Linked DNA regions of Tamandua tetradactyla. The protein of the gene in region 3 purifies or fractionates together with the protein of the main gene of each other region. This does not show direct contact. Links are inferred from orthologs where the notes say so. Each region holds a gene or a part of one and is shown on either strand. Other genes may lie near its edges.

What was found.
Region 1: the proteins of DDX39B (region 3) and MYO1B purify together in Homo sapiens (affinity purification with mass spectrometry, with the first as the bait; 3 studies listed by BioGRID). This does not show direct contact. The link is inferred for Tamandua tetradactyla from reciprocal best matches to the Homo sapiens genes DDX39B and MYO1B.
Region 2: the proteins of DDX39B (region 3) and CLTC purify together in Homo sapiens (affinity purification with mass spectrometry, with the first as the bait; 3 studies listed by BioGRID). This does not show direct contact. The link is inferred for Tamandua tetradactyla from reciprocal best matches to the Homo sapiens genes DDX39B and CLTC.
Region 4: the proteins of DDX39B (region 3) and DBN1 purify together in Homo sapiens (affinity purification with mass spectrometry, with the first as the bait; 3 studies listed by BioGRID). This does not show direct contact. The link is inferred for Tamandua tetradactyla from reciprocal best matches to the Homo sapiens genes DDX39B and DBN1.

The regions. Positions count from the first base shown.
Region 1 is NC_135329.1:165,006,646-165,014,433, reverse strand, and holds the start of MYO1B (unconventional myosin-Ib), read right to left. Parts: upstream 3,012-7,788; 5' UTR 2,821-3,011; intron 1-2,820. UniProt on the Homo sapiens protein: Motor protein that may participate in process critical to neuronal development and function such as cell migration, neurite outgrowth and vesicular transport.
Region 2 is NC_135332.1:40,809,949-40,817,414, forward strand, and holds the start of CLTC (clathrin heavy chain 1), read left to right. Parts: upstream 1-4,463; 5' UTR 4,464-4,621; intron 4,622-4,631; exon of another isoform or gene 4,632-4,840; 5' UTR 4,841-4,907; coding exon 4,908-4,949; intron 4,950-7,466. UniProt on the Homo sapiens protein: Clathrin is the major protein of the polyhedral coat of coated pits and vesicles. Two different adapter protein complexes link the clathrin lattice either to the plasma membrane or to the trans-Golgi network.
Region 3 is NC_135331.1:87,132,428-87,139,407, forward strand, and holds the start of DDX39B (spliceosome RNA helicase DDX39B), read right to left. Parts: upstream 3,016-6,980; 5' UTR 2,885-3,015; intron 2,781-2,884; exon of another isoform or gene 2,374-2,780; intron 2,098-2,373; exon of another isoform or gene 2,026-2,097; intron 1,574-2,025; 5' UTR 1,438-1,573; coding exon 1,227-1,437; intron 1-1,226. UniProt on the Homo sapiens protein: Involved in nuclear export of spliced and unspliced mRNA. Component of the TREX complex which is thought to couple mRNA transcription, processing and nuclear export, and specifically associates with spliced mRNA and not with unspliced pre-mRNA.
Region 4 is NC_135346.1:59,234,132-59,242,107, forward strand, and holds the start of DBN1 (drebrin), read right to left. Parts: upstream 3,008-7,976; 5' UTR 2,866-3,007; coding exon 2,780-2,865; intron 1-2,779. UniProt on the Homo sapiens protein: Actin cytoskeleton-organizing protein that plays a role in the formation of cell projections. Required for actin polymerization at immunological synapses (IS) and for the recruitment of the chemokine receptor CXCR4 to IS.

The DNA.
Region 1 (7,788 bases), on a different chromosome or scaffold from region 3:
TACCTACTATTAAAAGCTATCATATCATACAGTGTGCTAGTTAAAGAATTTGGACTTTGGAATGAGATGGATTGGAGTTCAAATCTCACCTCCGCCACTTACAAGTTACCTACACAAGTACAGTGTAAGAAGCAAGTTACTTAACTTCTCTAGGCCTCAGTTGCAACTGTAAAATGGAGCCAATACCCACCTTATCAAGATGTTGTGAGAATTAAGATAACAATGTATGTAAAACCCTTTGCACATAGTAAGCACTTACTAAATGATGCCTGTTAGGTATTGCTAGGCTATTTAACTAAAATCCAAAAGCTCAGCTATTGAAAAGAGCAGAAGGGAGGGAGAAAGAGAGAAGACTCTCATCCAGAAGAAGGACAAATACCAAAAACATGGATGCTATATTCCGAAGATCCCTTCTTAGTCAAATATACCCCACCTCCAACCAAATTTCCCTACTAAGGTATAGATTCCTTCCCCACAGATGTCAGATTCTCCTCATTGTTACGCCTAACTGTGCAGCAACCAGGAAATCCATCTTTAACTCCAAGCTTGACAAAGTGATGATTCATTCCGTGAATGGGGCACAGCCTGTTGCCAGCTTTATTGCACAGTTGGGTATGGGGGCAGCCAGAGGCCAGAACACCAGCGATTTAAGAGGCTCCCCGATGAGGGTCTCCAGTAGCAGTAATGGACTTACACTTTGTATTTTGTTAATGTATATTACAATGAGTACTTGGGAGGAATCCGATTATGTTTTTTTTTTTTTTTACAAAACATAAATGAAAAGTCCAAAATGGTAAAACAACCATAACAAAAAAGTCACCCTCTGTTAGCTGCCCTGGCACAATGTTTGCCAGGCAGTGTATTACTTATAATGATAAACAGACTGCTGGTTGGACAACATTCCACTCCGACTTTACATCATAATGGCCCCTAAGGACAAGTACCACACTGCTTTTTAGCCTGGCCTGAAAATCTGACCACATCCCCTGCGAAAAAGCCAAACCCTCAGCAGTACACTGCACAGTTCTTTTCCATTACCACTTAATGGGCAGGAAACATTTTTTTTCTAGGAGTAAGCTCCTGATTTGCCTTCTAAAGTTAAAATGCTTTCAAACTTGGTTCATTTTAAAGTGAATGGCCAAAGGGTGGTTTAATAGTGGACACTCAGGTTTGCCAAAGAGGCAGCACTAAACCATTTCCCAACCCTCTCTGCAACAAGACTACTATAACTGAATGTCTCCTATATCTTCACCACGGTAATTCTAACCTTCAGTATGACTTTGGGATTCTTCCACCAATGTCCCATAGGCACAAACCATGAATGCCTGGAAATGTCAGCCTTCTCCCCGAAAAGTTTTGCCATTCAAAAAGCACACATCGTTCAATCCCCCAAGGCTACCAAAGTCAGCCAGTCCTCTTGGGTTTCTTGATTCAAATCTAGGAAAGAGTTCCTTAACAAATGCCAGACATATGATATTTAATTCTACCTCCTCCTAAAAAAAAAAAAAAAAAAAATGCCATTCACCCTACTAGTAAGTGGTTTTTTCTTATTCCAGACAATCCACACAGGGAGAATGAAAGCACGGAACACTTGAAAATCCCTGGTTCTTCAACTCTTAAAACCCTAAGGTTTGTGAGTGCAGTGTGTTTTCTGGGAAAAACTGTAAAAGGGTTTTTCAGCTTCAGCATTACACAACCTAATTCATTTTATTATTTTTTTTTTAGCAATGTCTAATTTTCTGGTGGTTTCCCCCCAAACATTCCGGGAAAATTGTTATGCTATACCATATTACAATAAAGAAAATTAAGTCAAAATTGATCCTATAACATCTGCCTTCTACCATGTGAGTCAGTCTCCACTGGCTGCACACAGGATCCAGAGGAACACACATACACACAAATACACTGATTCATGGCAAAAAACAACTTCTTTCATTATAACCAACAAGATTTTATTTCAGCATGGTAGCGCTTAGAACTCAAGGAAGCACACAACTTGTTGCAGCAATAAACGCTCGGCCGCAGCCTGAACAAAGCAATACAAGCAAGCTCCAGAAAGCCCTTGCTCAAAAATGTTGCGTGTACATAACCAACTCCTCAGTGAATTCTAATCACCCCCTCCCCAACCCTCTAGCTGGCCCCTGCACCCTCAGGGCTCCCTTCCCTAATCTGGTTTCCATTCTAGCCCCGCCCCTTCCCCTCCCTCTCGAGGACAGTGAATCAATCCCATCCCAGGCAGGAAACGCGACCTGGGGTAGCCCCCTCCGCAGCGGCTGAACAAAGGAGGACAGCGCAGCTGCACGCGCGGGGAGCCCCATCAGGTTTTCTGCCCTTTCTCCCGGCCGCCGCTGGGGCACGCCGCACCTGAACCCCACGCTCCAGACCAACCCTTTGTTCTCCCACCTCTTTCCTTCCCCGAGGAGAGCACACCAAATCCTTTCACAAAACCAGGGAGCCAGGAAATAACTGTGGGAGAAGGGGATGGCGCGGGTGTGGGTGAACAAGAGCAAAATCTGGTTTCCCTTCTGCTCACAGGTACTAGGCGGACAGGGCAAAGTAAGAGCAACTTGCTTTACAAGCCCTTCCTCTCTCCCACCCCCCCCCAAAGTATCTGAGGAGTCACCGCCACCCTGCACGATCTCCAGCGTGTGCGGGTTCTGGCCGCAACGCCACCTCACCCCATGAGCCGCAGACCCAGTTGACCCGCGCCCCACGGGGACCCCAGGCACAAAGGCGCGGGGCGTCGCTCCACTGCCCCTCGTGGGCCGTGACCGGACCTAGCGGGAAGGGCAGGGGACACAGGGAAAGCGCTCGCGCTACCTCGCAGGGCGCCGCACCGCCTCCTGGTCGTCCTCCCTCTCCTGGCGCTCTGGGACGTGGGTCCAACCCGAGGCTGCAGAGCTGCCGTCGCGGCCCCCGCGATGCTCCCGCCTGCGGCTGCTCGGAGGTAGCTGTCCCGCGGCTGTCGGCCGTTTTTTGCGCGCCCGGCGCTGCGACACCGCCTCCTCGCGCCGCGGCTGGGGATCCTGTGCGCGCTGGACTCCCGAGTGCTCGGCAGCGGCGGGAGGCGCCCGGCCACTCCCCTCTCCCCGGCAGGCAGAGGGGCCGGGCCGAGGGGCGGAGGCGGCGACCTAGCTGCCTGGGATTCGCCCCTCTCCGCGCCGGCAGGACCCGGGGGCCGCCGCCTCCAGAGCTTACTCACCTCCGGCCGCCCGGGGCTGGCCTCACAGCGCCCCCAGGTGAGCGCAGGCGGCAGCCAAGGCGCCTGGCAGTCCTAGGGCCCGCAGCCCGGGGGGTCAGCCTAGAAGAGGCTGTTTCGCCCCGGGCACGGAATGGAAAAGAGAGGGAAGGAGTGGCGTCAGTCCCAGCCCCGGTGGAACGCAGGGTCCGTCTGCCAGATTTGCTCCCGAACTCACGACCATCCAATTAGAAATTTAACAGTTGGGGTGGAGGGACAGCGGGCGGTCGGGGCTCTGACAATTAGAAACCAGCCTGGGGGGCGAATGCCGCAAAGAGCGTGTTCTCAAATTTTCCTCCCCCTAGCAAAAAAACCTCGGATACCCAAGAATTTCAGAACATATTAATTTAACTGAAAGAGAAAAAAAGTATCGTGAACGGCAAAATGTGCCTTTACTCCCAAGATTTTTTATTATCTATGAACTAATTTAATCTCATATTATGCTAAGTAGACGCTGGTCAGTTCTCTGTATTGCAGAAAAATAAAAGAGCTTAAAAGAAAGTTTAAATACACATGTATGTCTGATATTAGCTTGTGTAACAATCGACGGTGGGATGTTAATTTACGTGTTATTGGGGCATGTTGGACGGACCAGAGAATCAGGACCCCACTTTTCACTCCAGCCAGGCTCTTGCTTTATTGCAAAGTTTAGAACAAGCCACCTAATTGACCCAGGTCCTGGTTTCCTCATCCCTGAGGGAGGGAGGGCTGCTCATCCAAACTTACTCACTGGGGAGAGGTGAGGATTACCTGGCTAAGGTGTTAAAAGCACTATAGACACAGTAATTATTACTCATGAGTCTAACTACTTTATCCTATAATGAAATAAATTGCCATAAATGGAGCTAGGTTTAAATGAACTGACCTATATCTGGAACTGTCAGTAAAATGAGGTGAACCAAAGAATTCAGACCATATATAGTAACTCTGATCCTGGACAAATAAGGACCACAGGCACTGGGGTTTGTCACATGTAACCGGTATAGTTTAGAAAGGTGGCTCTTCCCCAGACCGTATCTGCTTGGAAGTGCACTGCCACTGATGGCCCCAGCAGCAGCACTGCAGATCTGCAGAAGGCGTGAGAGTTGTCTAAGCTAATAATTACCAGATGCCAAGCACTGTTCTTTTACTTGTTTAATCCTCACAAAATCCTGTAAGAGAAGTTACTCTCATGCCTTTTTACAGGTGAGGAAAGCCAAGGACAGGGAACTCTTCCAGCTAATAAGCAGCTGGTTTTAAGACATGTCCACAAATTCCTTGACACTCTTCCCATCAAGAAGTGGAGTCTAATTACCCTCCTGTGGAATATGGGCTGGTCTTAGTGACTCAGGTCTAAAGAATTGAATGCAGCTAAAGTGATGCTATGTGACTTTTTTTTTTTTTAAACACACCAAAGCTGTGTTTTATTTATTTGTTTTTTAGGGATATGCTATAAGTTTATAAAGAAAGTTGCAAAAAATGTAATAAGACTCCCAACGATGATTATTTCTGAGTTGTGTAAGACTTTAAACATAATTATAAAAGGCTAAAAACTGAAGGATGAATTCCTCCATTTTCCTTTTTCTAAAAGTCCGGATGGCTCCTCACATCAGGAAAGTCCAGCCAGTTACCACAGCTCTGCCTTAGTCATCCTCAGACTCGCTGCCTCTCCTGGTGGGGACGGAGCACTGCACTGAGGACAGTAATGCGTCTTCAACTGGTTTCTTAGGGTTTTCCTCCAGGTCTGTCTTGACACACCAGACTCCGACAGTTTCCATTCCAACTCGCCTCTTGTCAGGTTTATGCCGCCAAACACTAGAGCACCAATAAACTGAGCCTTAATGTCACCTTCAAGGCAAACAAATATTGTGGGCAGGGTCCTAGCAGGATAATTGGGTATGCAGGTAGTTGAAATGGCTTTGATAAATTTGACATCAGGAAACGTCCTTGCAAGTTCACTGATGGCGCAGAGGGGAATCCCTTGTTTGTGAAGGTGCAAGATTTACCCATAAGCCTTCACCAGCTTTGGTAACTTCTTGGACATAATCCTTTCCCGAGATCTCCAAAACTTCTCCGTATTTATTCCTCAGTTTAGTGGTTTTCCACTCAGCCAGTCTTTGCTGCCTGTACATCTCAATAGTATGTCCATCCTCCTCACTAAATTAATCTTCATTATCCTCCAGCTCTTCCAAAGTCATATCTTCGTAAGTTTTCACAACTGAATACTGAAGGACTCCCTTCACTTCCTCCTCTGACTCCCTTTCCGATTCTTTCAAACTTTCCTTTGAGGACAAGATGCCCGTTTTGCGTAAGGTGTCACTCCACTCGGTGTCCATATCGGAGTCCTGCATTGCCTCCAGTCCCTCGGGTTAGGCCTGCCACGGTGACCCCCTCCTACCCCCACTACTGGCATCTGAGCCCGGTTCATAAAATAAGATACAGTTTCCACCTCTCTCTCTCTCAGGACACTCACCGTTGGGACTCAGCTACCATGCTGGAAGGAAGCTCAGGCAACATGAAAGGTCACGTGTAGGTAGGTGCTCTGGCTGACAGCACCTGTAAGGACCAGCCAACAGCCAGCATCAACTTGTGAGTTAGTGAGACTTTAAGATGACCCCAGGCCCAGCTGCTGACTGGTCACACTGCATGAGAGACCCAGAGGGAAAGCAGCTTAACTGAGCTGAGTCAGTCCTCAGAACAATGAGAGATACAACAATACTAATAGAAATAATAGATTGGCATCAGAGTGGTTGTTATATAGCAATGACCCTCGGAACAGTGGCAGAGCTGGGATAGGAACCCAGGCAGGCTGACTCCACCCTGTCTACTACAAACTACCGGGTACACCATCTCTGCCTTAATAGCCTAGTGTGATGAAAATCCTGGAGAATCCACCCTTCACAATGGACAGTATATGGACCTGGCATGGTGACACATTTTCAACCTACTCCTCTATTTTGCCCATCTGATTTTAGGTTCCAATGTGATTGCTTATGATAGTTTGGCAGTAATGGGGCCTCTGACCTCGGCTATCCAGTCCAGCTTTTCAAAAATAGCAGAGATTCAGATGGCAGGTTCACAAAGACAAAATGTAAATAAATGGTTTGAATAGTGGGGGGAATTCTATGACCTCCTGATTTTGGAAGGTGGCCAAGTTTTAGGGAAAAGTAGGGAAAAAGTGCTGCTATTGAGAGAGTTGCTAGCAAGAAGGTTTTGGAACTCCTGGCTCTCAGTAAAGAGATAAGGAACTTAGATATGTAGGAACTGTTCTGCCATTAACAATTTGAAAGGACCATAAAAACTTATACTATAGGACCACAAAAACTTTAATATAAATCATGAAGGAAAAGCCAGGCGCAAAGTAAAGGTTTTCTTGTACCTAAGCTGAGGGACATTTATGTGATAATTATGTCAGTCTTTAGGGTGAGCAGTTAACTCGGTCTGGCTCTCATCTTCCTTCTTTCCTAGCACGCGAGCATAAAGATCCGGGAATATGCAAACAGATGCTTGGAACACCAGACATAGTAGAGACACTTGGAGCTTTTTCCCTGTTTTTCAGCAAGTTCAGAAAAGGAAATGTTAGAAACCAGTGAACGTAACCTAATAAATACTAAGAAAATGAACCAAGAAACTATCAGGATGAATAAAAAAAAATAAGAAAAAAACCCCAAACAAACAAATAATGGGGGGCCAGGGGTTAGGGGGTAAAAGAAAATTGGGTAGAGTGCTATACTAGTGGTCAGTGAGAGGGAGGGGTAAAGGGTCTGGGATGTATGGAGTTTTTCTTTTTTCTTTTTTCTTTCTTTTTCTGGAGTAATACAAATAATCTAAAAATGATCATGGTAATAGATACACGACTACGTGATGATATTGTAAGCTGTTGATGGTATACTTTGGATAAACTATATGGCGCGTGAAAATATCTCAATAGAAATATATATATTTCTTAAAAGAAGCTATCCGGATGCCAAAAATGTTTCTAGAGAAAAACCATTCTTCCCTTTTAAAAATGCCTAGTTTAACCTAGTTTTCATAAATTTAAAACATCCAACCCCCTAAAGACATACCATGAGGTTTTAAAATACTTCTACCTTCCTGATTCTTCTTTTCAAAAGTCAATCAATCAACAACTTTTGAGTTTGAGAAGAGCAGATTAAAGTTGTTCTAACAGTTGTCAAGAATAGATAATAAATCCATCAACCACAAAGGCATTTTTACTTTCTCCTCAGCCTGTTTGGTAGAAATAGGATGAATACAGGAGCAGAAAGACTATTATTAAGATTTGAAAGTGAAAAATATAAATTATCAAATTACAGGAGTAAAAGAATATAAGTAGGTGTGATTTTACCTCAAAGAAAGCATGTAATAATTCAAATTAAAACAAGTGAAATCTTGCCACCCTTGTGAAAAATATGGAAACAAAAGCATATCGGTGTGCATGCTAGCAATAGAATTAACTCTAAGCGTTTGTTACTGTTTCTTTTTTTTTAGTTGTTTTTATTTGATAAGACAAAGAAAGCTCTCTTTTAAAAAAAATTGAAAAGAAATTCAACCTTGGGAAAAGATCATTG
Region 2 (7,466 bases), on a different chromosome or scaffold from region 3:
TTTAAAGAAACAGAATTTATAAGCCTTCCTTAGTAATGATGAGCATGCTCTCATCTCCACATCTGATCTAGTGGCTCAGTTAGATAGTAACTAAAATATAGAGATTGTAAGAATTGTCTGCATCAGGTTAGCTCTTATTTTCACTATGTGGAAATCTTCATATTTGAATGATCAGTGGAACTAACCTAAAACACTTTTCATGACTCTTGGTGCTATCATGGTAACTGAGAAAAGGAAAAACCAGAGTTTAAATCAATAAATACAGCCTCATATGAATATTACATATTTTTCATCACTGGTGTGTTGTGGAATGAAGTTAATTGTATGGTTATATGCTGTACTACATTAAACTCAGTTATTCAGTATATGAGCAAACAGGAAGAGTAAACAACCAGGTTTTCTGTTTATTTTAGATAAACCACTTTTATCAGTTATGACAGGTTGAAATAAGGTGTTAAAAATAATTTCTAATGTGTTCTAGGATTGGCAGATATTCAGATTGGGCTTCTACATTTTCAGGATGACTATATAAAAACTGTTCACAGTGATGAACCTGAGGCCTTCAAGATTCAGAATTACTTTCACATATACAACTTACTTACAAAAGGCCTTTTCAAAAATTTTTACACTGAGCATTTTAAAAAATGTTGAAGGAGTAAATTAGCTATTCTTGGAACTTTATTATTGTTAGCCAAAAATTTGTCTACCAATCTCAATTCTTAACCATTCTGTTCTGAAGAACTGAGGTTACTAACATAATAAGGCTGAAAATGTGCCTTGCTACTGGCAGAACTATCTTTAAATGGTATGGTAAAATTTCACAATTGCTGAAGGTACATATTTGTGGGTCATGCCTTGCTTTCAACTGGGGACAGTAATAATTCTTGGAGGTGAAAAGAGGCCATTCTACATATTTAGAGAAAGAGAAAAAAACCCGCCAAACTCCGTAACAATCATTCCCACAGCCTCACCCTCAGTTGCCACTATCAGTTGGGTGAAATTGCCTTTTCATTCTATAGATCCTTTCAAGTTTCTTGTAATTTTGTTTTTGGATGTGACTTGGCAACTCACTTATTAGGGCCATAATTCTATGTAGATATCTGTATTGATGTAGATAACTTTCCAAGATGACTTTTTAAGGTAATGTTATGAGCTACTTCAACCCTCTGCTGGGATCTGATTTAACCTATACAAAAATAGAGGAGGGGTCTAAACAATGAGCCTAGATTCCAGGCTAGCTCCCCACAGGGCTATTCTTGACTTTTGACTGGGAACATATCTAATCCCTATACAGAGAAAAGACTCCCTATAGATCCTATTGCTGTCCATGATACATTGTAAAACTTGATGTAAATTAGGTTTAAGTCAAGCCTGAGTAGTGAATGAGGTCAAGAGTATATGCTGAGGTTCTTTTCGTATTAAAATAAAAAGGCCATTACAACTTTTTTCTTGCTTGTAAATGCTTAATTTATTCTTTTTTTGTGGGGTGAGGTGGGGTAGTTTTGCCTTTGTTCAATGACTTGTCCAGGGTTAAAATCTGTGGGTACTGTATGTTGATGATACCTGAGCCGAAGGGATATTCATTTTCTCACTGGCCTTTGATAACATTTATTTTACTTGAAAAGATAGAGACTGCGCTTAATCCTGGTGGGATTCCTATCAGTGGCCCTAGCGGGCTGAGATGTTTAAAGCTGTTGTTTAAATGTCAAAACCACTTATCTTACTTGGATGTTGCTTGCTATAAAGTACATCTCTTTGGTTTCACTAGAATTTGAATTCTCATAAATAGTAGGTTAATTTTAAAATTTGGCTTTAATCTTTAATGTTTGAGAAATGCTTTTGTGACTTTCACAATGCAGCTAGCGCAAGCTGTTTTTAAAATGTCAATGTAAAAGGCACGGGTCTTAGTGCAGAGCTGCTTAAAGATGAATAGCTTCAGAGGACTCCTACAAAACACACACACACACACACACACACACACACACACACACACACACACACACACAAATACAGAGACAGAGAGACAGAGATAGAGAGGCCAACCAATATAGTTTTGCTAATGTAATGGCACTTGCTCACAGCACGTACCTACTATTATGAACATTCTGATAAAAATAACTTCTGATAGAAAGAACTTGACCATCTATTTTATTAACATGGCTACCTCACTAAAACATTTTATGGAACCAGAAGTCTGGGGTGTTAATTCATTCACAGCAATAGTCCTTTAAAAGACCATGTCATGTTGGAAAAAAAAATCAGGGTAGCTGGGTTTGTGTTCATTGATTTGTTAGGTTATCTATTCTCATTTCTAGCTTAATGTAGTGCCTGAAAACAATGCCTTGCAGGGGTGCTAAGGTAATTTATCAGCCTTTCTGGGTTCTAATCCAACGATTCACCTAACTGCTGCCTCCACACCATTAGCAAGATCATACTATCAAATGAAGCATCTCCTATTACTCCCCACCCCCCACCCCCCACTCCAATTAGATCTTTAAAAGGAATAGTTGTTTTTGTTTAATGTTTACCATCTGGACCTTTTTCCTCTTGAAAAACTTTGAATTTATTGTTTTGAAAGATATGAGCTGAAATATTACAAAGTGAGATGTTAGATTACAATTTTATTTTTTTCTTTTAAGTGATTTCTGAAAACAATGCATTCATTAGATTTCTATGTACGATGATAACACAGCAGTCACTTTAACAGAACCTCAGTGTACTTTTTGGTTAGATATTCCATGCCAAATATCTATGATACAATCAATGATTTGGGGATTCTAAATGTACTTAAAATAAAAAATGATAGCCAATATATGATACATAGCTCCGTGTATAACAAAATTATGAGACTGCAAGTATAACTTGATAAAACTGCTGAGTGCAATTTGAGTGCAATAAAACTCCCTTTTAAATTTGGAATTAAAAAATTTTAATTTAAAACTTGTCTATTTCCAAAAATGATTTAAAAGCAGATTAATATTAGACTAGTATTAGGTCCTTTCAAATGTTGCAGAATAGAGCATAATTCAACGATTTAAACAAAACAAAATGAAATTTGCCAAGCATAAATATTGTTACAACATGATGGCAAGGCTTTTCTTTGCAGAACAGTCTCTGCTCACTCACCTGCCAAAGATATTCATCTCATCTGCAGTATGGGAGCTATTTAGTATATTGGGCAAAACGCTAGACGCTACTAAAACGATTAACGAAACGTTTTTCACTCTATATATTGCTTAATATTCAAACCAAAATTTTTTATCCGATAAGGTTTTGTGTTCTTTAACTGAAAATAGTAGTAAAGATAATTGTGTAAATGAGCTTTTCCTCAAGATTTTTTCTGGGAAAACAAAACAAAATACATCTCTTACAAACTTGAAATGCACTGGACGAAATAATTTTACCCTTTACTGTATTGGTGAAATTGCGAAATATCGTTACAATTTATGCTTCAGCAATAAAATAGTGGGAAGGATATTATTAATGGATAACGAACGCCACAGATGCTTTAATGCTTATGAGAAGAAACGATGCTAAGGCTCTGAAGCGCTTAATTCCCAAACACTGCTAACCTACAAGCATTGTTGAGGTGGCCCTACCGAAATACACGGCTTATAGTTAATCCCTTTCTTCCAAGAGTGTACATTAACTACATCGAGGAAGACTCTTCATCCTTAGCCTAATTATCTAAATCCTTAAGTCTAAAAAATTATTTGATATGGCTAAAAAAAAATGCCTTCGCTACAATTTTTTGTCCAGTCCTCCAGGTTATTTATGAAACTCACACTCTTTAACGACAAACTGACTGCCAAACTAGGATATATGTCCGCCAAAACGTCCGCAGAAACGGTAAGAAAAACTATTACAAGGCCAGCTTGAGAAAACTTCTAAATGGCCTTCACTGTCTTTTGAGCCAATTAACACCCAAGGAGAATACTGGTTCCAGTTAGAATGCGCGCGTCAGTTTCTCCAAACCTCAAAGCAGCGTGTGTATAAGGGTAGGGATTTAAAAACCCATTTCATTTTCCCTACCCCCGCTCCCGGGGAAATAAGACACCACCTACTATATGAAACTAGGCGGGGGAGGAGTGCCGCAGCAAGCTGCCAAGAGCGCCCTGCAAGGACGTTTTCCTGAGTCACGGGGAAGGCGGGAGGTTGGGCCCATGTACCCACGTTACGTCCTCTTCCTAATGGACCCAGCTTAAATAGAAGAGTGCCAAACGAAAGGAAGCAGCACCCGTACTTCTTCAAGGTGGACCAACCGCCACCTCGTTCTCCAAAGAGCCGCATTCCCCCAGAACCCACTTTCCGTACTGACCGCTATCTGCAGACCGTTCCCTAACAATATCACGTGCACCCGGAAGTACGTGGGTGGAACCCAAACCGCCCACGGAAGTGACGTCGATCATCCCGAGTCGCATGATGTGGCAAAATGCAAAAAAAGGGGGGGAGGAATTGGAGTGGGCTGGAGAAAGTGATGAGTCTAAAAAAGTAGTCCCCTCGGTTCCTCTATTTATCCTAGTGTCTCGACAGTAAATGAGAAGCGCGGCGCACTGCGCCTGGAATTCCTGCGCCGTGCTGTGCCGTCGCACTCCGTGGAGGGGTACATAAGGAGGAGGGGGTGAGTCGACTGGGAGGAGTTCTGTCGCCAGGATCCCTCCGCAAGGCTCAGCCGTTTCCGGAGTTTGCGCTGCGCTCGGTTCCGCCATTGCGGCTCTCCCGGCCCCTGGAACCTCCGCCCCCGACCCGAGCTCTTTCGTCTGCCAGCCAGTTACCTGTGTCCCGGGAGAGTATCCTCCTGAACCCGGCATTCCCCTCCCCCTTCTCCTCCTCTCCCTAGGAGAGTCCGGGCGGTCGCTGCACTACAGCCCCAGTGACAGGAGGACACCATATCCCCCGACAGCGCCATGGCCCAGATTCTGCCGATTCGTTTTCAGGAGCATCTCCAGGTGCGTCTGGTTCCCGGCTGGTGAGGGCTGCGGAGGGGTTGGTAGAAAGGAAGGAAGAAGCTGTAGAGTGGGCGTAAAAGCAGAAAGAGTTGGGTCGGTGGTGAGGGGTGGGGGTGGGGGGTGGGGGATGTTGGAGCGTGGAGTAAATGGAGGAGGGGACGCTATCTTGGAAAGCTTAAAGGTTTTAAGAAATGATTTGGGGATTGGATGGAAAGGACAAGATTCGGGATGCAAAGGGCGATGAGGCCAGGCCTGGTTCCCAGGGCCTGTCTGTCTTGCTTCCTCAATCGCAAGAACTGCGTGTCCCCACTCCCCTCCCCCCCGCCCTTTATTCAGTTCATTCATTTGGGTAGGTGGGGTGGGGGAATGAGGCAGATTATTCCGCGTTACTCTTTCGGCAATGATTCTCATCACTTCCTGGGACAGTGCAGTGCTGTCACCTTCCATTGCTCATCTCCCTTTCCTCTGTGGTGTCTGCACCTTGGAGTTGTGGGGCGGGTGGTTTAGGGAGGAGCAACCTTTTTTTTTCTTCCTCTCTTTGCGGTTCTTAACAGGGAAGAGGTACCTTCTGGCGGTGGGAGAGACGCGGCTTCCTTGCCTTCCGCGAGGCAGTGGGAACAGAAGGTCACAGAAGGTGTAGAATGTGAAAACGTATTTCTCAGGGCGGTGTCTATCTCAGGGTGCATAGGGTCAAGGTTCCTAGGGGAATTTAGCCTTTTTTCCCCCCTCTTTCTCATTTTCTCTAGGTGAGGTGTGGCACTTAAGCCTCTTTTTGGTTTTAGGAGGTTAGAAGGAGTTATCTGGAGGTTATTTTGAGGTCTGCTGGAGTTTAGCAGATATTGTGGTTTCTCATTAATTCCTCCTCCAGGATTGCATGGAATGGAACAGAGCCCTCGGGGTAGTGCATACCTGCTTCAAGATATCCAGGGTCTGTAACTGACTGCCCTTTGGTAGGTTACAGAATTCTTCTGACTATGCCTTATTCTGAAAGCCACATACTGTTGTCTTATCTGGCATCATGCCCATGGCAGTGGAGGCAGATGATCCTTTAGTGGATTAGATGAAATTCTTTTCAGAGCTTTTGACTTCCTGGTTCACCAATCCTGCTTCTACTTGTGTTCATTTTGGCTGAAATAATTCATTCATACTAACTTGCTGACTTCCCAAATACCCTATTAAAGAAACCAGGTCAGTCTTCTGAAGAAAGACTAGTTTCATAGTGATAGAATACACAGTGGTACAGAATATACACTAATTTTAGTAAACTGTTGGACACTTTTCCATTGGAAGGCAATTTTATTTATTTTCTCTCATTCTTATAGCATACATAAAGAATCCTTGTTAATAAAAGTTTTATTTTTCAGGCTATGAGTAACATAATTTCATATTTCTTTACAGGTGTTCTCATTTACTTGCATCAGCAAACAGTTTTTTTCCATTAAGACTTGAAATGTAATGAACAATAAAATTTTACACATCAAATGAATTAGTGCACTTTCTTCAGTCATCAATAGTTTGCAAATAACTCATCTGAGGTAATAGAATATACATTGGCAATAACATACTATTTTACAAAAGATTACAAAAATATTAAGTGATAGATGGACATGGAGAAGTTACTTTTCATTCTCAATCCAAGTTTAATTACTGTGGTTACCTCTAAAAGTGGGGTGGTAAATAAATGTGGAGGGTTAGAAAAATACTGTTTTGGAGTGTGAGGTGAAAACACAGCTCATCCTTATACTGAAGTACGACTGAAACATGACTTTGCACACAAATGTTTGGTAGACCATATATGAGAAACAAGTACAGTTGCTGTTTATTTTACATGGTAGGGGTACAGCCCACTAGCACATCTTCTTCATTGACTGGTGGTAGTTTGTGTAATAGTTTTTCATTTTTATTAAGGAGAGAATTGTTAAGTGACCTTAGAGATTAGAATCCCAACTGTGCTGCTGTTTGAAGACATTAGATACACTCCTGATTTCTAAGTGGTTCCATGTTTCTGCAGATACTTGAGTGAAGCCATTTTCTACTCAAAGATTTTGAGAATAAAGTAGCTTTGCAAATATACTTCAAATTCAGCTATCCATTTTTTGAGAGATACATAGTGCCTAAGTTTAGTGTGATTGTGGCTCCAGCTGACATTAACTGCAAAGATTCAAATCACTGAAGTTTTCCAGGATAATATATTTCCTGACTTCCCATTTTTATCTCCTCCTTTATTTTAATTAACAATTTTGGTCCTTGACCTCTGAGCGTCTTTCTATTGCTAAGTAGCAAAAAAACTTTCTTAAAGATAAAAACTGGGAACAAGAAATGAGGAACTTGTGTGTAGAGTTTTAGCTTATTAAAGTTTCAAAAGACAAATGAACCTATTTTATAGCCTTTACCTATATTGACCAGGTGAAGAATCTGTAATCAAAGCTTGGACCTACATTGAATGAATGTTTATATTCTAAGTTATACAGGAAGTTTTGTTTTGTTTTTTTAAAAGGATGTTTAGGCTGATAGCAG
Region 3 (6,980 bases):
CATTTTGAAAATTATTACTTTTTTCCTTCGTTGCTTTGTATTTATGTTATATTACAAAATAAAAAAAGTTTCCAAGGACCTTTCTTGGTTCCTGTCAACTTTCAGGCCCTTTCAATCACATTCATCCCCAAACCACCTCCCTGGCTCCTCCAGCTCCAAGACTACCTAGTGCCACTAATAACCCTCTTGCACCTAGAAACAGCTCACCTTTGGTGCTACTGGCTCTGTCCTTATTTCCTTTAACCTGTAACAATACATGACATTTGAGTGCCTTTTCTCCCACTTAGGTTGCCATGCTTTGAGTCACATAACCTTGCAACCTCAGAAAAAACGGATTTGGTACCTGACCCAGAAGCCAGCCATCTTTTTTTTTTTAATTACTATGAAAAATAACATATAAATAAAAGGGCAATAAATCTTAAAGCACACTGCAAAAAATTAGTTGTAGAACAGATATTAGGGTTTAGTATGGGTTACAATTCCACAATTTTAGATTTTTATGTCTAGATGCTCCAAAACACTGGAGACTAAAAGAAATATCAATTAACGACTCAGCAATCATACTTATTTGTTAAAACCTATCTTCTCTGTTATAACTCTACCTTCTCCTTTGATCCTTCTCCCAGTCTTCAGGGGTATCTGAGCTATACCCATTCTAATTTTTTCATGTTGGAAAGAGCTGTCAATAATATGGGACAGGGGGAACGGACTAGCTGACACTCTAAAGAGACCAGCCCCTCTGGGTTTCAGGACTTAATAGGCGTAGGAACCCATCTGGAGGTTGTAGGGTTTCTGGAAAGTAATCATAGTGCATGGAAACTTTGAGAATCTCAGATAATGCCCGAAGTGTTCTTTAGGGTTGACAGGAATGGATTTGGTTGGTGTTTGAAACCAGTCATCTTTAGACCAGACATAAAGTTTTCCAGAGCTCTGAACTGGCCCCAAGATAGGAGGATTAAAAGTCCAACCAACCTTTATTCATCAAAATAACAAATTTAAAAGTGACAGATCTCTATGCTACTTTTGGATCATTAGCACTTTCGTGTTACCATGAATGAGACTAATCTATGCAAATCTCTTCTATTGCTAAAATCATTTTTAGTACTTCCTTACTTTTTGGCCTATCCCATATATAAACCTTATCACCTGGGAAACCATAAACACATGTTTCTTGTGGCTCTAAAGAGCACAACGAATGAGGACTCTATGCCCAAGTGAATAATTACCTTCTGATGGATGCTCAAAACCACAGTCAACAATGGCCCGGAGCAACTCTGGTTTGAGCAGGAAATCACGAAAGCCAGAGCTATGGATGGAGACATAGGAGCCCTTGACATCCTTCTTGGCAGGAGCCTCAGCCCCATCTCCCCCAGCTGCTGTCTCCACTTCATCATCTTCATAGTCCAAGAGCTCATTGTCCACATCGTTTTCTGCCATGACTGGGCCGGCAGGGGTAGAAGGGGAGGAGGGGTCTCTAGATGGGTTCAGGCAGAATAGATGAAATCAAGGAAGAAAGAGTAGAGGACTGGGGAACAGTAGAGGAAAAGGAAGACACTAATTTCTGACTGAAGAGCTAGGGAAAAAAAAAAATAAAGATGGAAGATATCAGTCATGAGTAGAGCCCTCACAGCCTCAAGTCTTCATTCCCACATCCTTCTCTTTCCCTAAATCATGAAGCCTTTATGTGGAAAGAAAGAAAACACACAAAAAACATAAAAGTGAAAAGCAATTATAATACAAGGAATGGAAAAAATGGTTCCAGGACATACGTTTAGGACACAGATTGCCAGCATGACTAGGATCAGAATTGCAGAAATCAGGAAGTTGGAGGAGGAAGACCAGTTATAAACTCTAGATGGTAAGTAACATAGTAAGGGAAAACGAATAATAATAATTAAAAAAAAAAAATACAGCGAATGGGGGAGGGGTGGAGTATAGAGAATGAAGATGAAAATTCCTAAAAAGTCCTCAAGGCAAGACCTTGTGCTTTCCCTATTATCTCAAGGTGTGAACCTCCTAGACAGCAGCCATCAGTCAAGGGTGATAGATAAAGGTCATCAAGGCGCAGAGCGCTCAAAATGAAAAACATCATGTGGCTGTCATCCTCCCCCGAGATTTCTCCAGCCCCTCATTCCTGAATACCCTCCTTTTGCCACTTAAAAAAAAAATCAATGTGTAATTAATGGCGGGGGTTAAGAAATGACTCAGTCAGGGGAAAAAAAAGTCATCTCTCTATCATACGCTGAATGAGATGCTAATTATTAAACGGGAAAGAAGTACCCTCACTCCAAATTTAATAGAACCTTCACCAAATGGCCACACATCATCGTTGTACTACTCCGCAAGGGAGATTCCTTCCGGAGAAACACTTACACAATGACATCATTCGTAAACATTTGGAAAGTATTTCAAGTAAGGGCAGGCAAGTCGAGGTGAGAAAAATCCACCAGAGGCCGGAAGTTGGCTCCTATCCCTGTTGCCTCCGCGGGCCTAAAGAGGGCCCCGAGGAGAAGGGGAAAGGGGGAAGTTGAAAAGCGCCCCGCCCTCTGTAAATGGCCCAAACCAGGAAAGGCTTAGCACCGCCTCTTTCATATCAGAGCTGGGGCCTCTGATAAGCCAGACACCCAAGGAGGACCCGAAAGTAAAAGAAACACAATGGCGCCGGGGCCACCATCTTGGATTGCACACCACCACCCCCAGCTTCTCCGGCCTCCCCCCAAAAGATCTTTGCTCTCAAAAGAGACGCAGAAAACGGAAATAACGATCCAAGTAAGCCCCGGCGACAAGACTGTCACCTGTGGAATAGTTATCCGGAGCCCAAGAGACCAAATGGCTGCGAAAAAAGTACGGATGGAGGTGGATAATACCGAAGACCGAAGCTTACCTGACCAGGGCGGGCGCGTATGGCGGCGGCAACAGCTACGAAGAAGAGAATCTGCCTTCACTTCCGGTCGGCGGCCTCCTTCTCCTCGTCCTCCCGCCTTCTCGGCTGTCAGCGCGCAGGCGCACGGGAGCGAATGAAGGCCCTTCCGCGATTCTATAGTTCCGCACGCATGGAGGTTGCCTTTGGAAAAAGCCTGTCTAAAATTGTTTTAAGACGCCACTTCTAATTTCTCGGTTACTGCGGGTAGTAACGTGCATGACGGAAACCAATATCCCCTCCCATTATTAACTTTTCTCTCTTGTCCTACTCTTCTCTACGTCCCTTGTCTCTCTTTTTAGGTTCTTGTCACACAGGTCTTCTCTCTGGGCACTACATCGTGGGTGCTTGATGGGTGAGAGCGTTGGGGACTGTGAGTTCCCACGGGGTCCTTGGCCCGGTCATCAAGGTGACCTGGTGGCGGCTGAGCTCGCGTTACGAGCTTAAGCCCCCTGCTAGGGATAGGAGAGGCGGTCTAAGGAACTGGAATGAAATATAGTGCTCAGGAGTCCTAGCCCTATCCACTCCCCAGCGGTGGAATCGGAGGGCAGGAATGGGAGACACTGGCCCAGAATTGTGCTGTCGCAGTAGCTGATTTTTCAAGGGCCTTGAGGTTGATGGACGGGGTTGAAAATCAGAAGGATGTCTTGAATCTTCTGAATGGAAGATAGGAGTCTAGATTCTACCCTGAGCTTGAGAGATACAGAAAACTCCATAATTATTAACTCGACCAGAATGTTCTTAGTCGTCCCACCATCGCCACAGACACACACAGACCAGCCCCATTGTTCAGCCGGATTTTTTTCTGAATGAAACATTTGACACCCGTCTGAAATAATACAGAAGTTAAACGTGATGTCCTACTGCTTAACAAAAATGACTACAATCATTTGGCCAGGCCCTGAACTAAAGAAGCTCTTTACCTGTTATCACAGATAACAAGGGTAACCTCACTATTCCCATTTTATACACAAGCAGACAGGCTTTTAGAAGTAAAGCAATCTGTCCAAAGTAACATCTAGTAACGTGGCAGAGCCAGGATGTGGACACTTTCAGAACCTGTCTGTTTACCTCCATTGTATCCTGCCTACCTCTTAAAGAGGGAGAGGGGTTAATAATTACACGATGGATTGATTACCTTATTGGTGAGTGAGGTGGTGAAGCAGACCTGTCTTCCGGTTTGCTAAACCCCAACCAAAACCATTCCTGCCAACCCTAAACTTAGGGCTTTATCTGAGATTCTACAAAGGTTCCATGCACTGTGATTACTTTCCAGAAACCCTACAACCTCCAGACGATTTCCAAGGCCAGAAAAGTCCTGAAACCCAGAGGGGCCAGTTTCTCTGTAACATAACTTGTTCCATCCCCCAATCTCATATTATCGACAACCCTTTCCAACATGAAAAAATTAGAATGGGCATAGTGGAAATACTCCTAACGATTGAGAGAAAGATCAAAGGAGAAGAAGGCGCTATAACAGGGAAGATAGGGTTTAACAAATAAGTGTGCTGAAATCATTGCATTGATACTTCTTTTAGTCTCCAGTGTCATGGAGCAGCTAGAATGAAAAACCTAAAATTCTGAACTGTAACCCAAACCAGACTTTGAAATCTATAACTAATTCTTGTGGTGTGCTTTGAAATTTATTGCTTTTTTTAAATTTTTTTTTTAATTTTTAACCACAATGAAATATTATCTCACACCCACCAGAATGGCCATTATCAATAAAACAGAAAACAACAAGTGCTGGGGAGGATGTGGAGAAACAGGCACACTTATCCACTGTTGGTGGGAATGTCAAATGGTATGACCCCTATGGAAGGCAGTTTGGTGGTTCCTCAGGAAGCTAAGTATAGAATTGCCATATGACCCCGCAATACCATTGCTAGGTATCAACTCAGAGGACATGAGGGCAAGGACACAAACGGACACTTGCACACCAATGTTTATAGAAGGATTATTTACAATTGCCAAGAGATGGAAACAGCCCAAATGTCCATCAACAGACGAGCGGCTAAACAAGCTGTGGTATACATATGATGGAATATTATGCAACTGTAAGACAGAATAAAGTTATGAAGTATGTAACAACATGGATGGACCTTAGGACATTTTGCTGAGTGAGATTAGCCAGAAACAAAGGGACGTATACTGTGTGGTCTCACTGATAAGAACTAACATTAGTGACTGAACTTGGAGAATTTCAGTTAAGAGCAGAGGTCATCAGGAGATAGAAATAGGGTAGATATTGGGTAATTGGAGCTGAAGGGATACAGATTGTGCAACAAGATTGATTGTAAAAATTCAGAAATGGATAGCACAATACTACTTAACTGTAATACAATAATGTTAGAACACTGAGTGAAGCTGAATGTGAGAATGATAGAGGGAGGAGGCCTGGGGGTACAAATGAAATCAGAAGGAAAGATAGATGATAAAGACTGAGATGATATAATCCAGGAAAGCCTAGATTGTACAATGATAGTAACTAAATGTACAAATTAAAAAATGTTTTTGCATGAGGAAGAACAAAGGAATGTCAATACTGCAGGGTGTTGAAAATAGATGGTAATTAATATTTTAAAACTTTAACTTATGTGTGAGACTAAAGCAAAAAATGTTTATTTGGTACAAAATTTATATTTTGACTAGTGCATTTCCTAATATAACTTATGTGGACAGCTTAATTGAGCACCACAGTACATGGAACCTTGAGTAGGTCTAACCAGAGTGATGTCCCAATAAATCCCATGGTGATCTGAACAGTGAATAAAAAAGAATTTGCAAAGTCCCCTTGGGTGAATGGTGAAAAAGCAGGAAAATTCAACTTCCCCGAGTGGAGAATTCTTGATATTCTCACAAGCAGTGTGGACAACCAAAACAATAGGCCAAGCCCTCAATCTTGGGGTTTGTTGGGTTTGTTCATATGAAACTTAACCCCACAAAGGATAGGCTAAGCCTATGTAAAATTAGGCCTAAGAATCACCCCCAAGAGAACCTCTTCTGTTGCTCAGATGTGGTCTCTCTCTCTCTCTCTCTCTCTCTCTCTCTCTCTCTCTCTCTCTCTAATTGTATGATGATATGGCTGTCGCAGTGTGACTGTGTGGTTGGGAGAGCCTTGTGTCTAATGCTCCTTTTGTCTATCTTATCGACAGACAAGTAAAACATATGGATTAAAAATAAATAAATAATAGGGGGAATAAATGTTAAAATAAATTTAGTAGATTGAAATGCTGGTGATCCGTGAAGGGGAGGGGTAAGGGGTATGCTATGTATGAATTTTTTTGTTTTCTTTTTACTGCTTTTTCTGAATTGATGCAGATGTTCTCAGAAATGATCGTGATGATGAATATACAACTATGTGATGATAGTGTAAGTTAATGATTCTATAACAAGAACGGAATGATCATACGATAAGAATGTTTGTATATGGTTATGTATCATAAATAAAAAATAAATTAAAAAAAAAGAGTCACCCCCTAGAGAACCTCTTTTGTTGCTCAGATGTGACCTCTCTCTCTCAGCCAACACAACAAGCAAACTCACTGCCCTCCCCGTCTACGTGGGACATGACTCCCAGGGCTGTGAACCTTCCTGGCAAATGAGCCAGGACTCAGCACCAAGGGACTGAGAAAACCTTCACGACCAAAAGGGGGAAGAGAGAAATGAGACAAAATAAAGTGTCAATGGCAGAGAGATTCCAAACAGAGTCGAGAGGTTGTCCTGGAGGTTATTCTTATGCATTAAAGAAATATCACCTTGTTAGTCAAGAGGTAATGGAGAGGCTGGAGGGAACTGCCTGAAAATGTAGAGCTGTGTTCCAGTAGCCATGTTTCTTGAAGATGATTGTATAATGATATAGCTTTCGCAATATGACTGTGTGATTGTGAAAACCTTGTGTCTGATGCTCCTTTTATCTACCTTATCGACAGACAAGTAAAACATATGGATTAAAAATAAATAAATGGGAGAACAAACATTAAATTTAGTAGATTGAAATGCTAGTGATCAATGAAAGGGAGGGGTAATGGGTATGATATGTATGAATTTTTTGTTTTCT
Region 4 (7,976 bases), on a different chromosome or scaffold from region 3:
CCCATTGTGTTTGAAATCCTTCAGTCCCTGGGGACTCAATGCCAGCTCCTGGAGAAACCCGGCCCTCCCACACCTCCAAGAGTTATCATATCCCACCAAGGATCTGAAGACATCTGAACTCACCCCAGATCCCACTAGACCAGCAGTGTTTCTTAAACCCATCAGAGGCACCCTGGGGTGGGTGGGAGTTGGCAAAAGCACAGGGGATCAGAATCTGAGAAAGCCCAGGAATCTACCCATCTCACCAGGTCCAGCCACTGGAGACACTGCCTCAGAGCAGGCTTTATGAAGACAGGAACTCTGACTCAACCAATTAATATTGCTCTCTGGGTCCCGAGGTCCGGCCCAGCAGCGCCAGTAGGTGTTTGTGATATTGACCCAAACTCTTAGAAACTACCTAGGCTAGAGAAACTGGACAAGTGAGGCAGTAGCAGTTCCAGGGAGATCCTCGGATCACCAGGGGCTGGGAAGTGCTGAGGTGGGGCTGGGCCTGTCAGGACTGCCCACTCCATTGCACTCTCAGGATGTTAGGGCTGTAAAGGCCTTAGGAACTCTAGATTCCTAAGGAGGAATGAAGTGGAGCCCAGTCTCTCCTCCAGAGGACCAGAGAAGGGCAGGAACTAGTGGGTGGCCACACAGCGAGTCATGTCAGAGGCAGGACAATGCTGGCGCTTCCTGCTACATGTCCTGACCTCCTGGGACCCCTGGTCTATTTCAGAGTGAGATCCTGCCCCCCACCCGACACACACACACACACTCAACAGGCAAGGTAAGGGTGGGCACTGCCAAACCTCCTTTGTCCAGACAGCAATTTCACCCAAGACAACCCTTCTCTGGCCTCTGCGAGGAGGATCTTGCCCCCAAGTCTTGCAGTCCCACTGAACTTCTGACTCTGGGCTGGGTGTTGGGGGACCCCCATACCCCCCTCTGCAGGATGTAGTCCTCACATCCTTTTTGCAAAATGCTACCCAGACCCCACGGTGTGAGCAAGCATGTGTACGTGCTAGGGTACGTGTGTGCATCTGTGTGTGTGTCCCACACACAACCCAGATGGGGGGTGACGCACACCACTGATGAATAACTCGCTTTGGCCACATGGATACTGCCGGGTGGTGGGAGCCTGAGCAGAATGCAGGGCAGCAGTGGCTGTGTGGCTGTGGCACCGGGCTGCCAGAGCTCTGCTTTTGGGGACTCAGGGAGAAACAGGCCCCAGATTGGAGGGCGTGGGGTGTTCTGAGATCAGATGTGCCTCTCCCCAGGCACGGGGGCTGAAAGGCAGGGCCGGTATCCCAAGGCCTGCTCTTCCACGGGGCCAAGCCGGCCACTTGCCCTGAATTGCTCCCATGATCTCAGCCCCCGGGGACAGGGCTGGGATAACGGGTGGGCTGCCCGCCCTCTTCGCCTGCGCTGCCCTCTCTCCTGTGACTGACCTGCAGGACACGAGAGTCTGTCTCCCGCGTCCATCCCTCCAGGCCTGGCTGCCCGCCAGTGCTGCAATGCCGTGGCATGGACGCCTGGCCATTTTATCCCCACCTCCAGCCCCCAGGTAGGGGTCCCTACCCAGGGTGAGGGTAGGTCCAACCCAAGGAGGCCCCTCAAACCTGCCTCACTCTATGCCTCAGTTTCCCCAGGGGGTAGAGCCTGTTTCCTGACTGCTGGCAAGGGAAAAAAGCCTCGGGAACACGGTGGGCACCTGCCCGGGGAGGAAGAGCATTCTGGGGGAATGATTCCTCGATGGGGCACAGTGAAACCTCTCAGCTCCCTGCCAGCCCCGGGGGCTCCAGTCCCAGAGCAGGTGGTCCAGCCCCTCCCCCAGCTCAGGGGCGACAACAACAGCTGGGAGGGTGGGGAGAGGGCGGCCCAGCCCCACCCCCACACCAAGGGGGCAGAGTGCCCCTTTGGTGCTGGAGGGAGGGGCTAAGGGGGTCCCAGTGGAGGAGCTCACCCCCGCCTCTCTCACTGAGGGCTCCCTCTGCATTTGTGGGCCTGAGGGTTTCCTCCAAGCGACCCCAGCTGGCCCCCTCCCCTTCCTATCTCTCAAGCCAGCTGCCTGGTTCCTGCAATTCCCATCAGGCTGGGGAGAGAGGGGCTCGTCCCTGTCTCCTCCACGCCCCGTGAAGGCAAGAGGAGTCACTTCACTCTCGCCATGTGGCAACAAACGTCATGCCATCGCACCTCCGCTCAGGTGTTGGGGGGTGGGGGCAGCCAACGCAGACCGGCCCCCCCCAGTGGGCGGGGCGCCCCGGCCCCCGGCCCCACTCCGCTCCTCCCCCGCCCTGGGTTTCCTTTGTGCTGGGGCCGGGCCGGGCTGAGCCACGTTAGCTCGGTCCCCGCCCCGTCCCCGCCCGGCCCTCGCCCTCTCGAAGGTGGCGAAGGTGCCCTTGGCCGCCCCGCGCACACCTGTCCCACGGGGTCCGGGGTGGGGGCCCTGGAGGCAGCGGAAGGGGCGCCCGCGGGGCCCTGGCGCCGTCCCCCCCAACCCCCGCCCCGGGCCACACGCCTCGGGACCCCGCGTCCCTCCGGCCCGCGGGCGCGGCCACCTCTCCCGCCGCTCGCCCAGGGCCGCCTCCGGGGAGCCCGGGGCCCAGCTGCGCCCCGCCCGGCCCGGCCCGGCCCCTCCCCCCGGCGCGCACAAAGGCAGCCCCTCCCCGGCCCGCTGCACCATTTCGGGGTCTCCCCCTCCCTTCCCGGCGCTGGGGCGGCGGGCCGCGAGGGGAACAAAGGCGCGGCGGCCGCGGCGCGGGGACAAAGGGGCCGGGGGCGGGGGCGGGGGGCTCACCAGTCGGCCGCGCTCTCCTCCCGGATCACCTCCTCGTAGGCCGCCAGCAGCTCCAGGCGGTGGCCGCTGAAGCTGACGCCGGCCATGCTTCGGGCCGGACCGAGGCCGCACGCACAGACGCACAGACGGACGGACGGACAGAGATGGGAGGGAGCGACGAGAGGGGAGAGTCGCCGCCGCCGCCTCGGAGCCTCTGCAGCGTTGCGAGCCGAGCGAGCCAGCGGCCGGGGGAGGGGAGCCGGCCGGCGGGGGGCGGGGGGCGCTGGCTCCGCCCGGCTCCGCTCCCTCCTCTCGCTCGGTCCTAGCGCCGCCCCAGCCCGGCCCAGGGGGAGGTCCGCACCCCTCACCCCCCACCTTCCCGGCGTGCCCCGGGTGCCCCCCCGCGCCCCTCGCCGCGGGGCCGTGCGCGCCGCACCCCGGGCTCGGACCCTACCCCTGCGGTCTCCTGTCCCGGCCCACCCCCGTTCAACAAAACCCTCCCCTACCCCATCTCCGACCCGGGGACCTCACCTTCTCTCCCAACCCCAGCCCTGGCCCTGCCGTACCCACATTCCAGTCGCCACCCCCCACCTCTAGCCTCACTCCATCCCTCTCCTGGCTCTCCCCATCCCAATCCCAAGGCCACTCGGTTCCAGTACGATTCCAGCCCCTTGCTGATGTTCTTGCTGTCCCAATCTCACCCCCACCCCTGGTCCATTCCATCCCATGTTAAAGCCCATTCCTATTCCAAATCCCGAATCCAGCCCAATTTCCATAGCAGTTCCTGCCCTGCCTCATCCTGGAAAGGTCCTCTCCTAGTCCATTCCCATCACTTTCTGAGGCCATCTGCATCCCAATCCCAAATACAACCCATCCCACCTCTGTTCCCAACCCCTGGCTTAGCACCTCCCTTCCTCTCCTGGTCAGCCAAACCCAGCTGCAACTCCCTCAGTCCTGTCCTGGGCCCAGTTCTCAGTCACAGGGCTCCTGCCTCTGTGACTGGGTCAGCCCCAACCTCAGCTCCGTACTGAAATGGCCATCATTCCCCATCTCTCACCCCATCCATGCCCCACCTCTATCAGAAGCTCCCCATCCCTGGCCAGCTAGCTCCTCTGCTGCCTTGGATGGAGCCTGGCCTAGGATATCCTTTGCCTTCTCTCCCAAGCCTCAGGCTTCCCAGAGGAATGCCAAGTAGAGTTCCGGAAACAGCAGCTAACCCCAGACTCCCAGGGCAGGGCTCCTCTAAGGATGCTACTGGGCCAGCCCCTTGGCACCTTTGTTTCCCAAAGCTCTGAGCACAGAAGGGCTGGGCTTTCAGAGAAATCTCCTGCAGGGTCTCCTGTACATCTCTGCTCCTCGCTGGGGCCGACTGGTGAAACCCTCCCCAGCCCTCAGAAGCCTTTTCTACCTCCCGCAAAGCCTCCGAACCCCATCTCCCAGGGGAGGGGTGACAAAACCGGAGCCGACCTTACCTGCTCCGGAGCAGGTCTCAGCTGGCAGAGGGATGGGGTGGTAGGTGGCTCTAGTAGGTCCTCCAAGTTGGGTAATCTGCCCCACTGAGAGAGAGAACAGCCTGTACATTTATCCCCAGCAGCGGTTCCCACCGTTTCAGAGTAGGAGGAATGCTTTTCAAGCTCAAAACATGTCACAGCCCCCCCACCCCCACCCCCCGAGGTGGGGAATGCTTGATGCCCCCTGTGTCCATGGACCCCCCAGTCCTAAAAGTTCTTCCACGGCCCCTGCTTGGAGTGAGGCCCACCTATAGGAAACCAAGAGCAATGGGGCGGTTGCGGAGACAGTGGAGTGGGTGACATGGCCGGGGTGGAGGCTGGGGGGGCGGGGGGGAGGAGCGACCAGCCACAGGGGTTTGGGGAGGGGGACCTGAGCTCCAGCTTTCCTCCATCATTACATGATTAGGTATGAAGAGGGGGATTTCTTGGGGTAGAGGAGGAGAAACTGCACTGCAGGGTCCTGGGAGACACAGGCAAAGGGTATCTCCATTCCCTTCCTGCTTCCTTTGACTTGTCCTAGCTCAGAACTCCTCCCACTTCCCTCTTCCTGGCCCCATCCCCGGCCTCCGAATCATCCTACTTTGCTTCCAAAAAAAGGAAGCCCTGTACACCCTGCATGCTTTCCCTTCCTCAAATTGCTGCCCTCCCCACCTGCCACCTACAAACTCTACAGCCACACCCACTTTCACTTCTTGTCATCTATTTTTTTAAATCAGTATAGTTTATGGTTTTATTCTATTAGATATCTTTGTAGTAATAACTCCCTCCCCCCGTTTAGAGAAGTTGTGGGTTGACAACAATCATGCATAATATATAGCATTCCCATATGCCATACGACCACCTCACCCAGCATTAGTGTGCAACATTTGTTATAACTGATAGCCCATTTTAATAATTGCTCTATTAATTAAAGTCCATGGTTTAACTTAAGGTCCACTGTGTAGTGTAGTTCCATGGATTTTTTTTTTTAAGTTCATTCCTTTACCATATATGCAACCTAATGTTTTCCCTTTTAATCGTCAGAATCAGCTATATATGTCAGTGCTGTTAATTGCGTCCACATGTTGTGCCACCATCACCACCAACCATTATCAGGACATTTCCATCATTCCAAATAGGAGCCATCTGTTTTTTAAATAAACTTTTTTTTTAATTTTAGGAGAGTTATATTGCGACGATAATGCAGAGTTCGCATAGACCCCACACCCAGTTTCCCCTGTTAATATTCAGGGGGGAAGGAGCGGGTTCCTGGCTCCCAGGCCCTGGATCCCCTCCTGGCCTTCTTACCCTCCTCCCTTCCAATGTTGTCTCCGCTCCACAATTTGTCTGCTGTCATCTGTCTCCCCGTTCCCCCGTTTTCTCTCGCACTGCTCTGGTCAAGATCACTACTGACCCCTAAATGGCCAAATTCAGATGCCTCATAGCCCTTGGTTTCCTAAAGTCCCCACCAGCACTCTCCTCTGCCGAACTGTCTCCCATCAGCCCGTCCCCGGATCCCAGACTCCCAGACTCGGCAGATGGGGGTGGGTATCTGTTTGGAGATCCTCCCATCAGGCTTTCCTGTCCACGGTCCCGCCACAGCAAGGATCACCCTTCAAAGTCCCTGATGTGTCATTCCCTCCCACACATACTCAGAGGCTGGACTGTGGGTGCTGGGTGCCCAGAGAGCTGGAGTGGGGAGAAAGAAAAGGCAGGAAAAAGGAAGGGCTTCTGAAAGTTGGCATTTGGTTCCAGAAGCTGGTCACTTGCTGAGTGACCTTGGATAAAGCACTTCCCCTCTCTGAGCTTCCTCGTTGTTAATGTTGTGGGGATAAAGACGTCACTGGATAGGGGCTGAGGAAATGAGAATGCTCCCTCCTCTCAACCCCACTTCCTTCGTCCCACTGCACCCTTCTCCTTTCAAGCTCCTACTTGCCTGTCGGCCTCAGGACTTCTCCAGTACTGGCTACCTGGTGGAACCTTCTCTGCCCTCATCCTGCCTCTCCAAGTTCCCTCCGAGCAGCTCCTCCCAAAGTGTTCCTTCTTCTCAGGGTAATGATGCCCATGGTACTTCCCATGAATTGGGTACACAGTACTGGGCTGGCCCCTTTAACCACATTAGCTCCTGTCATGGTCAGGTTCATGTGTCAACTTGGCCAGGTGGTGGTACCTGTTTGTCTGGTTGGGCAAGTGCTGGCCTGTCTGTTGCCATGAGGACATTTCATAGAATTAAATCATGATCACTCGGCTGCATCCGCAGCTGATTCCATTTGTAATCAGCCAAGGGGAGTGTCTTCTGCAATGAGTGACGTTTAATCAATGGAAGGCTTTTTAAGGAGGATTCAGAAGAGATAGTTCCTCTGTTCCTGCTTCGGCCGGCAATCGGCCGGCCAGTCTCTCCTGTGGAGTTCGTCCGGACCCTCCATTGGAGTTGTCAGTTTCACAGCCTGCCCTGCGGATTTTGGACTCTACCTTCCCACGGTTACATGAGACAGTTTTATAAATTTTATATTTACAGATATTTCCTATTGATTCCGTTTCTCTAGAGAACCTTAGCTACTACAACTCCATTCCTGGCAGGCATGTAGCTGCCATCAACCACCAGAGACCTTGCTAGCGGTGGAAACTTAAACTGGTTGCTTGATCTCTTGCCTCATCTTTATTGACTCTAAAATGAGGATAATAATTGTGCTCTCTACCTCTAGCTTCAGTTTAAGGGTTGTAAAACAAGATCTCAAGTGCTTAAAACGGTAGCTGCCCAGAGTGGATGGTGTGTGTGTGTGTGTGTGTGTGTGTGTGTGTGTGTGTGTGTGTTGGTTGTTATTATTGGACTGATAGGAAAACGGAAGCTCAGAGAGGAGCAGTAACTAGCCCTGGGTCACACAGCTAACTAATGGCACCTTCTGGATGGGATCCCGGGTCTGTCCCATGTCACTTCAGCACACTACACCCGATCTCCCTGTTTCCCCTGCTAGCTTGGCCCATTTTCTATATCTGGGGCTGGCCTGGCCTGGACTTTGGGTCAGAAGCGGTTCTTTAGGCTAGATGGGGTCTGGGGGAGGAGTCGGGGCGGGGAGCGGCTCTGGGACATGGAGGCGGGGAAATGGAGGGTGGACCTCCAGCCCAGGCCTGCTCAGCTCCCACACCCCACTGTCTTCTGGCTGATTTTCCACCATAGGGCTCTAAGCAGGAGCATGTGATGGCCTGGGCTGGGTCCCGGTGATGGCCTGGGGATGGGGGCTGGGGAGTGGACACGTGACCCACCGGCAGTCCAATGAGCACCAGCCCTGGGGCTTTTGCTGAGCCATCAAGAAAGGTGGCTGTCTAAGTGAGACAAAATAAAGTGTCAGTGGCTGAGAGATTCCAAACAGAGCCGAGGCGTTATCCTGGAGGTTATTCTTACACAATTATATAGATATCACCTTTTTAGTTAAGGTGTAACTGAGAGGCTGGAGGGAAGTGCCTGAAAATGTAGAGCTGTTTTCCAGTAGCCATGTTTCTTGAAGATGATTGTATAATGATATAGCTTTCACAATGTGACTGTGTGATTGTGAAAATCTTGTGTCTGATGCTCCTTTTATCTACCTTATCAACAGATGAGTAAAACATATGGAATAAAAATAAATAATAGGGGGAACAAATGTTAACATAAATTTAGTTTGAAATGCTAGTGATCAATGAAAGGGAGAGGTAAGGGGTATGGTATGCATGAATTTTTTTCTGTTTTC